Linked DNA regions of Drosophila melanogaster. Changing the gene in region 2 together with the main gene of any one other region gives a genetic interaction. Each region holds a gene or a part of one and is shown on either strand. Other genes may lie near its edges.

Region 1 (7,227 bases), on a different chromosome or scaffold from region 2:
AGGAGAGAATAGCCGAAAAGATATTTATTGCATTTATGTGTCTCCGATTATGGACCCCATTAGTTAAATATCGATTGTGGCAAAGTTTTTGTTGCACAACAAAGCGCAGCTAGCAAAATTCAAGGCAGTTGCAGTGAACGTGATCGATTGTAGCTGGCAGTGTGACCAGCTCAGGAACGGAAAGTGTAAGCTAATCAAAGTGGTAAAGAAAATGTAAATACAAGTAAACCCAAATCTTAAAACTTAATAACGGAATCCGATGAACAGCAAGTTCAACAGTTGATTAAAGGTGAGTTCCTTTAAACAATGTCACTTTTCAATTATGTTATGTAATAAGTTCTAATGGCTCACAAAGCCTGGCCACACTGCGCAGTTACCGCAAGTTTGTGTTAATTCACTTAAATATTTCAATCTAATATTTAAATATGAATAGTAGAAGTAAAAGAACATGCCGCTGAAGTTTTGCTGAAAAATTCATCGAGTAAGAACCGTGTGCGAGTGTTTTTGAATGTATTTGCGTGTCCAGAACAGAAGGTGACGCTATTGGAAATTTATTGTCATCAAAAATATTTTGTAAAACTTGTAGGGAAATTTGAATTTTCGTAGGATTAGCCGATTTCGAAAGGATAGGAGATTTCTAGATTTTGGAAAGGGTTTGGATATGGCTTACACAAATAAAGGTATGTATGTATTTACATAAGTACAGTGGAGCAAGAACCGAAGGCAAGCGAAAATAACTATTTAAATTAAATGTCTATTGGTTTAATTTGAATTACAAAACAATGAGCTTACTTTCTGTTCAAAATGATCTTGGGTATAAGAACTGCGATATTTTGTTGGGGTATTTTACATATGTGCTGTTTCCAGCTGGCTTGCTTGGTGGGTCGATGGGAGATGCAGGAATAGTCGGGTTCTGGGTTATCTTTGGGATCATTTCCGGTCCGATTGTGTGGGTGCTGGCTACTGTGGTGGTGGGCTACATGGCGTTGGCTACTTCTACGGCTATTTGGCTACGGCTATGGCTACATCTATTAGTTAGGCTAGGTTTTGGTCTACTGCTCTGACAACTCAAATACAACTGACTCGGGTGGCACGGATGACGCTGACGGTACTCTTAGTACCTTTTGACCCCGGAAGCAGATGCCCATTATCCACTTGGAGCCGCGAGTTCGCGATCTCGCGCTGCCCGCCTCCTTGCTGTGAATGTGGGAGATGGTCGGATCCGGCTCCGCTTCCGCATCCGTCTTCTCCACCCGGTCCTTGCCCTTTTCCCGCGCCTTGTTTTGCAGCCGGGGCATCAGTCGCTGGCGCTGTTGAGGCTCGTGAATCATCACAATGCTGGCACTGCTCGGCTTTCTTCCATTCAGCCTTTTATTCGGCGGTGATATTCTGGGAGTTTTAAATTGATGTAAGGAGTTTCAAGGTGGGGTGTGCACAAAGCGGATGCTTACCGCTTTCCAGTGGCCGATGGATCTCCTGCAGGCTGCACTGCATCCGTATCCGGCGCCGTGTTATAAGCACCCGAGTACATAGATGCCCTTTTCGGCGCCCATTCCGGATGACCTCGCACCGACAGCTGGGTGGCCAGACTCTTTAGTAGCACGGCACGAACCTAAAAAATATATATTTTGGTTGGAAATAGTGAGGGTTTTAGGCAAATGGACAACTGAGTGACTTGATGTCTTACCTCGCCATTTAGAAAGCAGTAAATTAGCGCTATAAAAAATCCCTGAAACGAGGTGAGAAAGTGGGTGCCATACGACCAGACCGCGAAGTTCGTGGCCGTTTTCAGAGGAGCCAGCTGGTGCAGGAGATTGGTTATACCCAAAAGTGGTAGTAGGACTATAGCCGCTCTAACTGCCTTGCGAGTCTGTTCTATATCGCTGGCCTGCGATTGACGCAGCTTCATTACCAGCACTCGGATAATGTTCACCAGGAAACAGAAGTTTAGCTGCATGCGGATGTTTTCAGTTGGGTGAATAGGTGATTAAAGCGATCAACAGTTGATATTACCCACCAGTATGACCGCTAGTCGTGGCCCCTCGAGGATCCAGTAGTAGGGCGTGAGATTATAGTTCCACAAGCATTCGCCCAGCGAGGTGTCCATATACATGACCGTGCATCTCGCCCACACGGTGGTCATCAGAATGGGCACACACCAGCCGAGTCGCGAGAAGAACTTGAGGGGAAAGCTGCCCTGGAAAACGGCCACGGTGACCATGTTGTGCAGGTAAAGGCCCTCGATGAACATCCACATGAACATGGCGGTACGAGCGTACTCCAGAAGTACATAGGATGCTTCGCACAAATAGGGCTGTAGAACATAACATATAATATCGAACATAAGCCTTATACCTTATCCTTATGCGGGAATATTAAGCCTACCGTGTTCTCAATGACAGAGAGACTCGTGTTGGTGGCCGCCTCCTTGTTTCCCCGCCGGAATTGGTCGAGATACAAGGTCAGGCGAATGATCACCTGCAGCACCATGGCGACGAAAAGATTCTTGTGGATCTTGGTGCGATTGTTTCGCAGCGAGCGAAATGTGCAGAAGATCAGCAGGGAAACTATAAGGGCGAACAGGGAGAGGCAGAGGCCCACGATCTCCAGGGTTCGAGTCCTCCTGGCAATGTCTATGTAGGCCTAAGGGATATCGCAAACCAGTTGGAAGAAATGGAATTAAAACTACTACTATAAACCACTATCAACAAATGTAATCAGGCCTTTGAAATCACTTTTTAGGGTGTCTAAAAAACTTGGAACCCTATTAGGTAATTTCAAAACCATACCCTTGATTTGGGATTTTGGTTGGCATTTAAGCAATGCTCTTAACTATAACTGAAACAGGTATTATGATGTAGTGTGGAAAGAATTCAACTCACATCGAAGTCCTTGCTGCCCATCTGCTGCATGAGACGGATAATCTCCGGCTTGTAACACGGCCCGTAGTCCGTCCATCCCGGCGGATTCACCTCCGTGGCATTTGGCCTGCTGCCCCATCGACCATCCAGCTCACACTTTCGGATGGCGAATTCTGCGAACCGAAAAAGAGGGAGGTTGGGTTGGATTAATGACAGTAATCGAGCTTTGACACACTGACTGACAAGTGCAATTATGCCAATCGAATGGGCGACCGACCTCGTCCAGTTGAAAATATTGGGGCTAAAAATCTAGACACGGCCCGGAGAAATGAGGCCGTAGCTCAACAATGCACTCGAATAATTATTTCTTAACAGATATAGTTCGATATGCCTAGATTTTGCACCACAAGCGCAGATAATACATTCACTAGTGATAATGGAAGAGCATTTTAAGTTTGTAAAATATTGGGTGGTAAGTCAGCTACTTAGAATCTTTTCGCTCAGTGTATATCGCCCATGGTTATTAAATAGCAATTCCCCATTGCAGAACGTTTAATTTATCGGAGGGGTAGAGCAAGCATTTAGGATCGTAATTAAGCAATCGATTGGCTGGTGTTTTAAACCCTGTTCAACTGGCGGAGCTCGAGGGTGCACATGAAACACCTGGACAGCCCCCGGCGATGGAAGCCAAGGAGGGGCGGCCCCGACTGGGAGTGCGGTTGATTGGACGCCCCCAGTCATGCATGTAAATATTGACATCCTTTCGATGAATACGGAATCAAGTAATTGTTTGCCGTGCACCACTTGAACCGTTTCCCAGCTAATGATCCGTATGATTGTGACCGCCAGATATGCCGTGTGGATGGGATAAACACCGTAGGACATGTCTTTTGACTCCTAATAAGCCGGCAGAAGTCATAAAGCTTCTTGTGGCTGCTAAACAGCTAAACAGCTTCAACGATTAATTATGCTAATTGTACTCAGCATGTTCTTTTTCGGCTGCTTTTTTTTTAGAGTGTATTTCAGTTACTTACTGCGCGTATCTACGCCATGAAAGCCGCCAGGACAATTCATCCGTGCAAGGACTCCAGCCGGAGTGGGTGGCCAGCAGAGCAATGTGTCCCAGGTCCAATTGCAGTAGAGTCCTATCCCGGCAACAAAAAAAAAAAAAAAAATACTGCAATATGATTTAAAAGTTATTAGGCTTTAGGTACCTGTTTGTGGTAGGGTGTAATTGACAAAAAGCGCCGAGCAGTTCTCGAAATTGGTGGCCGCTGCCGACGCAAGCGTTAGATTCCAGGGCGCGCTGCTGTTGAGATTACCGAGAACCTGTTCCGTGTCCGAATCGGGCAGTGCGTCCATGACGGTGGGCTCCAGGGCCAATTGGGCCACCCTGGCGACACCGTCGAGGACATACGTTCCCGGCGATTCCGTTGTCGAGGCATCGAAATCGTGCAGTAGTGGCACGCGTCCGGTCGCCAGGCTGTGCGAGGATGTTGGCTCCAGCATGGATTTTGATTCAAATGTTCCGGCCGTCGGTGCAGATGGGGATGGTCCTGATGAGCCGGACTGGCGCAGCAGGCGGGTGAAGCGCTGGGCGGAAATACAGCCTCCGCAGTCGAGAATGTTCGACAGGAGGGTCATTTTGCCATCGACCGCATAGTAAATGTGCTGCAAAGCGAACAATGAACATCGTTGTTATTTACGCACCAGCATTATATCGAGTTATATCGTTCTAAAAAAAAAAAAAAAACAATCCCAAACCCATCAAACTTTGTACGAGTTAAACCCAACCAACCAATGAGTCTGCATGGCGAACACGACCTCCAGAACACGGAGCTTTGTCTTTCGATATTAGCATTGGACCCATGGACATGCATGCATTGGCTGCAATTGAAAATTGATCTCTTTCCATTTCGATTTCGATTTCCGCTTCCGTTTTCGTTTTCGTTTCCGATTTCCGATTTCCCGCACCCATGCGCCCCGTTATCCGGGTCAGATTTAATTGAAAGCTTATCGCACAATGAGACGTACGTCGACCGGTGCCTTTGTTTACCGGATCTTATTCTCGTTGGCAGAGTGCCCGTCGTTAACGCAGTTTATGATTGCCCCTAATAAATACCCGGCTTATTTATAGTCCCGCTGCACCGGAGTGCAAACATCACGCCCACACGCTACGACGCCATATGTATGCACATACATACAATACACATATCATTGGCATTCGCATTCGCATTCGCACTCGTATCACCCACATCGCACCGATTGTCGGGATTATGCCTGGCGAAATGGCAAATGGCCAGGAGCACCACATGCACGCAGAAAAGAAAACAAGTGAGTTGTTTACACATTTCAAATATTTTTGAATTGGGCATTGAATTGCATGGCATTGCAACGATCGCCACATACCAATTTCTTTCTGTGCAGCAGGAAGAGGAACTACGGGCTATGTGATGAATTGTAATTGCAACAACAGTTGCACTAACCCTTTTCCAATTTACGTGTCGGCTCTTTTCGGAGAAGTGTAATCTCTGCACAAGGAACAGATTAAAAATGAGCAGCTAAAACTTTGTATGAAGAACTCAAGGTCCTGCAAACAACTGATGATACGATCGTGCAGACTCGAAAATGTAATGCTTTTATCATTGCACAAATGAGATGGAGTAATTCCCAATGAAAAACAACAGCTTGTTTATCATTTAGTGGCACGTTTTGTGAAAAACAAGATTTCATATTTTAATGACGGCATCACATATTTTCCTCTGCGCAATTTATGGCCAAGGCTAAACGGAATGTAAATTACTTCAATGACAATCGCACACGACAAATTATGATTTCTTCCTGTCTTGGTTGCGTTGCAGCAGCAGCAGCAGCAGCAGCAAATGGCGGCGGAATGGCACAGGAAACACGTTGCCATTCGCTTTTTTTTGCCTCAACTTTTATTTCTTTTTCTTTTTTTGGTTTTTTCACTTCCGGAATTGCGTAAACAAGCCATGCGGAGGACGGTCGTCCAAAGTGGCCAAAGTTGCACATTTTGCTCATGTTGCCCATGTTGCTTGTGTTGCTTGTGTTGCTTGTGTTGCTAAGCTGCCCCAAAAATGCCTTTGAGTGCATTTTATATAATTTCATAAGAATTTCAATTTCGCCAGTAGTCGCTGCACACGAATGCATGCATGCAGGCTATGCTCCACCCACACGCTCACCCACCTCCCTCCCCCCCCTCAGCTATCCATCTCTGCATTTCCGCATTTCCGCATCCCTGGGGGCATTCCACTGGCTTTGTACTGCTCAATATGTATTTTGGTTGCATAAGCGCCAGCGTCAGACGAAGTGCAGCATTAGCAAAAACTTTGCGACTAAGCACTCCCACAGCGCAAAAAATCAACGATATATACGGTATATGTATATATATATATATATTTAAAATATATAATTAAGTAATTAAGATATTAAGCCTTTCGGGAGCCTTGAATTCGCTGCTTATTTACCAATCGATGCTTATCGCCGCAGCGAACCGATTCTCAGCTCGCGCTCGTAATTAAGCTAACTAAGCGCAAAATCCCCTCCAAAGCGACTGAAAAGCCAGTGGCGGGGCCAGGGATTGGAAACGGTTTGGTTTGGCTTGGCTTGGCTTGGCTTGGATTGGATTGGATAACCAACTGGATGGATGCTGGATGCCGCGATTCGGCATCTCCAAGCAGACAACAGACCCTGATTTGGGTCACTTGGCAGCAGTTGCAGCGTGCGGGTTATGGGGTTGAGGGATTAAGGGACCCCTTTAAATACTTGTGCAATTTAAAGTTAGCACCAGTCAGAAACAGAAAGTAACTAAAATTTAATTACATTGAGGAAAGTGGTTTGTTCAACTGCAATTTGTTTGTGTGTAAAGTGTGTACAGAGTAGAGCTTACAAATATTATTGGTAGTTGGTAGTTGGCAATCGAGAAGAGGCTTGTTAATCAAAATGTTCTTGCATATTACATAAGCACATTTTTATATTTATTACGCCCTTGGCATATATTTTTTTTTTTGACTTGAGCAATCCATTTTCAGGCCGATAATTGAACGAGCTCTGGACTCGATTGTTTACAATTTGGAAACCCAAACATGCTGGGCCGTTTGAATAATTAATCAACTTTCTTATTGAACACTCAGCAATTCAATTATTTAACACGCATTGCAATGCCCCAAATAGCTTGTCAATTCCACTTGATGGGTGGATACTCATAGTGGATAGTGACAGGCAATCAGGATTTATGTGAACTTAAATTCGTTAGTGGACGGAGCTTTAAATGTGCAATAAGTGCAATCAGCAATCAACAAGATTATAAAGTAATTTCAGCTGACGTCGCTCGACTTGAAAATTG
Region 2 (8,031 bases):
TATTATTCTTATGTACACTCATCACTAGGTTCTCAATTCTCGGTTTGGGGAGGAGGATTGGGGCTTCTCCACGGTCGCGGATCCCCTAATCTGAATGCGCTATATGGTCGTGTTTACAAGGTTGGTCGTTTGCAAGGCGTGCGCTTCGAATGGAGTTGTGTTCGAAAAATAAAAGTAAAATGACTGAAACAAACCGATTAGAAAACAAAACAATTTGTAAGAAATATCACGTAATGTACTTTTATTTAAGTTTTAGTGGCTTCTGCGTTCAGTGATCCGATTTGTGTTTTGCATTTCTTTGATTTGTTAGTTCTTAGCCAGCCGATCGCTGTGGGGTTTACATGTTTACGTGTTCTCATAAGATATAGTTTATATTAATGTATATTCATATTTTTACCCATTCATTATCTCTTGGCGCATTTAGAATTTAAGTTTTTTTTTTGCATTTTCCTTTTTTATTTTACGGTTTGGTATTACTTATAAACAAATTTCATATTATAGCTATAGTTTATTAGCTAGCGTTGTGTAACTTTCCTCCGCAGGGCCATTACTTACATTGTTAAATCGAAACGTTAATGCAATTGTTTTGTTGTGTATGTCTAACGCAATTTATATGCTCTCTATCTTAGTTACATGATTTTGTTGCGTAAACAAAGGGCTGCCCCAACTCCCAGCTCCCACATCTCGCATCCCATTTGCCCACCGCTCGGGAAATGCGCGCTTAAGTGTTTAAAAATCGGAAAGATATATATGAACACAGGCAGCAAAGTGCAGACCACGAAAGTATATATATATATATATATATATATATATATATATATATATATATATATATATATATATATATATAAATATATATATATAGATAGGGGAGTAGGCGGTACAGAAGGTTACATAATATAACATAGGAGGGCCTTATAAGTCAGAGCGTTGCTTAAAGCTAGAGAACTGCACGTGGTAATCGCAATCATTTTACCATCAACTTAGGTTACAATGTGGGTGCCTTGCTGTGTGGCATATGCTTTTGTATGGATTGGATTCGCTAGAGCTAGAGCCTATAGTCTAGGGTTAGGGACACTCGCTGAACGCGGTGTCCTTTGTTTCTTTTACACAAATATTACACTTACAATCGAGTTATTATGTGTTCATGATCGGTTCTGCATGTTCTGCCTGATTTGGTCTGGGACTTCAAGTTAACAAAGAAAAAGTTGAGCCGGCCAAGAGCAAATAGTCAAATGCAAAACAGAATTAAATGCCTGCGTGTCCTGCTAACCCTCCTCCCAAACCCTTCCGCGGACCCCTAATCAACCGCCGATCTATTGGCCAATCTTCAGGCAGGGATCTCAAATCAATTGAACAGTGCGGTTTGTTGCAGTTTCTTGCAGCCAGGTTGCAATCGTTTATGTTCTAATAGTATAAATTAAATTAATCATAGGCTAGTTAATTAATAATAAGCGCGCTCAACGTTCTAACATCTGGGAGCAGAAACCAAAATGTCAAAAAACAAACGAAAATGTACACACAAAAAAAGAAAAGCGCTGCGCTTTGCTATGCTCTGCTCTTCTTCTCTCACTGCTCTTGTCCTCCGTTTCTGGCAGGGACCTGGTCATCCTGCCGCTTGGATACATTCAACGTGTTTTACCGCATATATAAAGCAAGTATTATATATATTAGGTATATATAACTATATATACTACATGTATAGTTTGTTGAGTTCTGTTGTTGTTTGTCTACTGTGTCGTGTCCAGCGTCGCAACCTAAACGATAAAATATTATTTGGCGTTCCCCACGCCACCGCCCCCTCCGCCGCTCGGCATACCGCCTACGCCCACTCCACCGCCGCCACCACCGCCTCCCTGCCGCATCCGTATCGAAGGCCGACGCTCCGGCGTGTCGTACGGCGGTCTCGACGAGTTGGTGGCCGCCATCGAGTCGTCCATGTTGAGTCCGTTGCCGCCGATCAGTTGGCTGCCGTTACCGCCTCCATTGCCGCCCAGCATCGCCAGCGTTTGGCCGCCCTGGAGTTGCTGTTGCGCTGCACTGCCTCCTCCGCCACCCAGCGCCGCATTGACCTTGTGCTGCTGTTGTTGATGCGAGGAGGCGGCTGCCGCTGCTGCCACCGCCGCTGCTGCGGCCACCGCATCATGACCCGCCTGGCCGTCCGCTCCGTCCTGCGCCTGCTGAATCGCCTGGGGATTGCGAGGTCCGCCAAACTTAAGCAGGTTCCAGTCAAACACATAGTCGTAAGTGAAGCCCAAACGGTGGAACAAGTTGCGGAAGAGTTTGCGCAGGTGGCAGTAATCGGGACGCTGGTCGAAATGCATCTGGCGACAGAAGTTCAGATAGTTGACGAACTCGCTGGGGAAGCCCTTGCACAGCACCACAATCGAGGTGGACAGCTTCTTCTCCGAGATCCTCTCGTACTTTTGCCTCTTGTTGGCTGCCTTTAAGCCCTGCCAGGGCAAGGCGCCCAGATTGAAGTACATTAGGACGTAGCCCAGGGACTCCAGGTCGTCACGACGCGATTGCTCAATGCCCAAATGTGTGTTGATGGAGGCATAGCGGGCAGTGCCCGTGAGGTTCTTGTTTTCCCGATAGGGAATGTGCTTCAGCGACCGGGCATCGCGGAATTTCTTGGCCAGGCCAAAGTCAATGATGTACACCAGGTTGCCCTTTTTGCCAAGACCCATGAGGAAGTTATCCGGCTTGATGTCGCGATGGATGAAGTCCCGCGAGTGTATGTAATCGATGCGGGAGATCATCTGGTCCGCCAGCAGCAGAACCGTCTTCAACGAAAAGCGGCGTGAACAAAAGTTGAAGAGGTCCTCCAGCGAGGGTCCGAGTAGCTCCATCACCATCACATTGTAGTCGCCCTCGCTGCCGCACCAGATTATGCGGGGTATGCCTATGCCACCCTGCATCGTCTTGTAGAACTTTGACTCGATGTGCAGCTGGGGGTGTTTGGTGCGGATGCACTCCAGCTTGATGGCCACCTCCTCGCCAGTGTTGATCGTGGTGCCCAGGTAGATGTCGCCGAACGATCCCGATCCTATCTTGCGGCCCAGGCGATATTTGTTACCCACGCGCAGCTCCATTTTGTTACGTCTGTTTCTGTGGGTTTCTGTGTGGTAGAGTTCGGACTCCTCGGGTTCCTCGGATTTGCGTTGCCTTTCTGCGGGACCGGAGAATTGAAATTTAGTTTTAATTTTACAACACATTGCCTCGAAAAGAAGGCTGTACGCTTTTCTTACTCATAATACTACACGCTACACGAATTGATCGATCCCAGTTCAGATTAGCTGCGCTTAAAATATTATACAGATTTAAATATCTACGCCAAGGACTAAAACTTTTACTTTGTAATCGCGAAAGGATATTGAAAGGTTGCTACGATGCAGGCAAATTGTTGAATTCGATCAGAATGTAAATATTCGTAGTATTCTTAGTTGCTTTGACTAATCATAGAAATAGCAGCGGCGTCACAGGTTTTTACGAGTAAATATGAATCAAGTGACTTCGAAAATTCGGCTATTGACCACTAGCAACAATGTGTGATATTATTAGAAGAGATTATTTGCAAGCAACAACACAATATCGAACGCCTTGTTAGCGATAGTGATAAAATATTCGTCGGATTTTGTTTGCTACAACTTTTGATTCTTCTGACACTATATTGTGACACGTGATGACAACCCTGCTGTTTTGTACAGTTTGCTAAAAGTCTAATTTTGAGAGCTAACGGAGCTTCGTGAGTATTTTCCAACACTTCTCCACTTTTCTCACCTGGCACTGTCCTTTCGTCTGAGCTCCTTTCTTCTTCTTGTTCCGATTTGTTCAAGGCAGTCGCTTATGGCTTTGTATTCGAAGGGTTCTGTAATAGGAGGTACTAAGTTAATTTTTTTTTAGATCCTCAACATGGTTAATCGAAATTCGACCCGTCTCGCGATCACTTATATATAGAGAGTAATCCCCTGTTTTTATCGCATCTGCAGCGTAAGCCCGAAAAACGTGCAGAATTCGCTTTTGTTTGTGGTGATAAGGATTGTGGCACACAGACATGAAAACAACGCACGGCAACAATCGATATCGAAAATAGAAAACCGTTAGCTAAGAATAAAACAAGAGAGAGAGAGCGGGAGAGAAGTAAGCTTGGCTTACGTTGACAACACAAAAATAGCAGAGAAAAGCGTACCAAAAGCAATTCGAAATGCAAATGCACAGTGGGCAAAAATGATAAGAACCCGAACCTCGCACAAAGTAAAAGTTTATCTCGTATATTTATATTTAAGAGTGAGTGCGTCATTGCATTCGGCTGTGTGTATTGATTACGAATGGGGAAAACAACAGATTTAATAAGTGATGAGTAACGATAATTTATATGCACAGAGCAAAATAGCACTACTTTTTGACATTCGTCACATTATTGTTTTAGTCATTTTAATATTATATTGTACTATTATAAAATAAAGCAAATGTGCCGTAGTGCTTTTACATCCTTGAATAGATATAATTCTTTTTTTCAAGTGTATTTTTTACGTGACGACACCAGAAACATGGAGGTGAATCAGCAATCAGGAAAAGACAACGAAGAGATTAACAACAAATAGATAAAAGAGACGTGTGTTTGTGTATGCGTGGAGTAAACAATCGGCGACAAAAGGGAGAGAAGTAAAATAAAACGCAGCGACTGTGAAAATGCCACTTAAATGACACTTTCAGTGGTGGAAAGCACAAACAAATAGCGAAGATAAAGCGCATGGAAGTCAGAAAACGAAGCAACAAGCCGAAAGTTTTCACTTGCCGGTCAAATATCACAAAAATTTAGTTTAATTGTTTTCGGCGGCTCTCACTCACTAACCCCTTCCCACTCCTCTTTCCCACATTCTGTGCGCTTTCTTTTACCGCTCACGCATTTCGATCGCTCTCTCTCTTTCTCTCTCTCTCTCTCTCCTCCTTTTCCCGACTCTTTATCACTCACTCTGCGGTTCTAACCTCAAAACCTGCCTGTGTTTGTTGTTGTTTTCGCCTTGGCTTTGATTTATTTAACCGAAATGTACCGTTTTTTATTTGTATCTCCCATGTTCTACACAGAAAGAAATCACTGTATAAGCACTGTAAGTCAAATTGAAATGTGGTATTAATTTTAGGAGCTTTAATTTGTTTACTGGAAGGCTAGCAGGGAAAACGCGGTCTTTCCTATTGGTAACTAAATATTTCCCAGGGTATCCAGCAGTTGTTTCGGACCAGCGGGTAAACACGAATTGATTACAATTGCAAAACAGCTGCACGTTGCGTTGGCGGCTGCCGAAAAGCTTCCGCAAAAAAACGCACTGGAGAACAAAGAAGATACAAAAAACAGTTGTTCCAGCAGGCGCCACAAAAGTAAAAAGCTTAAGTAAACAGGGAAGAGCAAATGGAAAAACCAAAAACCAGAGCAAAACCAACGGGGAAACCTCAGAAGGGGAAGGAAACTTGCAATTAATTGTCAAACGCTAATGGCCTCCGAAAACTAACGGCACTCCACGAATGCACTGCGAATAACGGGGCTGATAAGGAGCAGCCGATAGCGGGTGGAGAAGGGAAACTTGAACGCACAGTGGAACAAATTCCGCACTTACCGTGGCTTGTTTTTCTTATATTCCTTGTTTCCTATTCCGCTTTGCCCACTTCCTCTGCTGGCGACGCTGCTTTTCCTTCTTCTAATTCGACTGAAATCGAAATCGAATTTTTTAATTGGATTGATTCTGCCACAATAATTTTCATTTTCTTTGTTTTAGAGCCCAGACGTTGTTTTTGTTGTAGTTGCCACAGTCGCACACAAACACACGCACACAGTCGCACTTTTTGGGGCCACACGCAAGCGCATTTTATGCAATAATTTTAATAATACTGCATTGCTGCCATATTTCAGTTATTTTTATCGTTTATCTTCGAGTCGGTTATGCTGTTCTTCTCTGATTTTATGGCCACATTGATTAGCATCTTGTTGCCAATCAACTCGAGAAAATTAAACGAAACCAAACGGAACTCGGACTCTTATTAAAAAAACCAAACTTATGCGAGTCGTTTGCCCTGGCAATAGATTCGTGCACACTAGTCGTCCCGCCCGCACTCGCACGGTTTCTACCGCGAGCACGTTGCTATCCCTCCTGCTTCAGCATTTTCACACCAACACAAAGACGAGGGCACTCACTCACACACTCGCACTCTCAATGAGCACTGAAATGCTGTTGGGAAATTCGAGTTTTCCTGCGCGTGGTAACCGCCGCTTTTTCGCTCGCAAACGGGTCTGTCGATCCGAAACGCTACTGACCACTTACGTTTTGCATCAACGCTGCGCTTTCGTTTCAATTTTTCTGGCTATTTCACATAGATTTCGACGATTTTTTACAAATTTACGCCATCTTGATATTCGCAGTGTGACCGCGCCGATAATGAAGAAAATTACCATCTGGTATTTACTCCTCAGCGAATGTCTAGAAGATATGTAATTGTGAAAAACTGTGATTCATATACTAAGTTAAGATAGTCCAAAGTTGGTTTCGAAGTACCACATTAAGAAAATAGCGCAAGAGTATTGGAAAATCAAAAGAAAAACGAAATTATATCCTTGCAGCTAGCCATAAGTTCAAAGTTCGAGTAACTGGAAAGCTGTGAAATAGCCAAGTTGACAACGCTGTTTTTGTTATATGGGCACACTAGTTCTTACATAGACCCAGTGCTGCCAGATGGACGAAAAATATTTTTGAGCTGCGCCACCTAGCGGATGAGTTGGCGAAAGTGGTATCCAGGTGGCGCCCGAAACAAAAGGTGGCGCCTTATTTCAGAAATGCAATTGAAAATATCTAAAGTTATTGAAAGTTTTTGAATTATGCATTCAAAGGCCCATCTGCTTAATTTTATTTTCAAAGAGAATACAATAAACAATACAAAAAAAAAAAAATCATTCTGAAATGATATTTATACTAATATACAAATTTGATAACTCAATAATATGTAAATAAAATTTATGTCTTAATTTGCAATGTTCTTAAGAAAAGTTGTTAACTCTTTTTACAGGCTTGTGCTCCAAATTCTCGTGTAAATAGAAATTGAAAATGGATTTCATTGGCATGTCTTGCAGTTATAGGTAGCATGCCAATTTTGATGTTACACAGATGTATCGAAATACCTGAAACGTATACTTTTATTGCAGCAATACGAATAAAGCAAAACACGTGTGAATTCCATTAGTCCGCCCAACCGCTTTCCCCATTTACCCTCACATCGTGCATTTTCCGGCTGTGTAACCCAAGAAACGATGACATAAAAAAAGGAAGCAGATCCAGTTATGTATGCATATATGAGAAAATGTGTTTTTTTTTTTTTGGGAGTATGTGCCAAGGTGTGTTTCTTTTTAAGTGGGGGTAGGGTAGATAAGCAATCACTCGAAAATGATAACAAAAAAAGGGGTGAAAAGAGTGTAACGATTCGATATTGGGGCTGGCAATTTAAAATGAAATATAGACAAAATAAATCACATTAATTGCACTTGCCTACGATTTTAATTTTCCATTGCTGTATTTATATACATTAGCCAGAATGCATTTTTTTTATGCAACTATAGAAATCTCCATTTTCAATTTATTGGTGAATCGTTCAAGATCTTCGTAAAAACCCGCCTTTGTCTCCCATTGGCTGGGAAAAAGAGAAAACAAAGCAATCCAACGAGGCAATTGAAGATACAACAAGTAAAACGAGAAAACAACTCGTTTAACCGCTCACACACACACACTAATTCAAAGCATATCTTTCCCACTCACACACGCAAAGACGTGCGATCGCCGACGAATGAAAATCGTCGTTATTTCGACCGATGGTCAACTACCAACAAATAAATAACGAAAAAAGTAAACCAAATATGTAGGTGCGAAGCAATAAAAACCGAGCGAGACGCGTGTATGTAAATGATCCATTCAAAGAACACTGTAAAAAAGTATGCCACATTATTGGGATACTAAGACAATTTATTTCCTAATTTTGTTGTATTTT

Evidence for each region.
Region 1: of dco (region 2) and Pdfr, changing one suppresses a phenotype caused by changing the other (phenotypic suppression), as found in Drosophila melanogaster (one study listed by BioGRID).

The regions. Positions count from the first base shown.
Region 1 is NC_004354.4:2,570,279-2,577,505, reverse strand, and holds Pdfr (Pigment-dispersing factor receptor), read right to left. Parts: upstream 5,301-7,227; 5' UTR 4,840-5,300; coding exon 4,660-4,839; intron 4,533-4,659; coding exon 4,076-4,532; intron 4,007-4,075; coding exon 3,896-4,006; intron 3,035-3,895; coding exon 2,883-3,034; intron 2,644-2,882; coding exon 2,386-2,643; intron 2,315-2,385; coding exon 2,018-2,314; intron 1,952-2,017; coding exon 1,688-1,951; intron 1,613-1,687; coding exon 1,452-1,612; intron 1,390-1,451; coding exon 1,053-1,389; 3' UTR 501-1,052; downstream 1-500. UniProt on the Drosophila melanogaster protein: Receptor for PDF, a neuropeptide controlling circadian behavioral rhythms. Probably regulates circadian behavioral rhythms through coordination of activities of clock neurons. PDF-binding results in the elevation of cAMP synthesis.
Region 2 is NT_033777.3:31,054,757-31,062,787, forward strand, and holds the start of dco (discs overgrown), read right to left. Parts: upstream 6,455-8,031; 5' UTR 6,321-6,454; exon of another isoform or gene 5,709-6,320; 5' UTR 5,619-5,708; intron 3,887-5,618; exon of another isoform or gene 3,872-3,886; 5' UTR 3,784-3,871; intron 3,173-3,783; 5' UTR 3,096-3,172; coding exon 1,773-3,095; 3' UTR 1-1,772. UniProt on the Drosophila melanogaster protein: Serine/threonine-protein kinase which is involved in the circadian rhythm pathway, viability and planar cell polarity.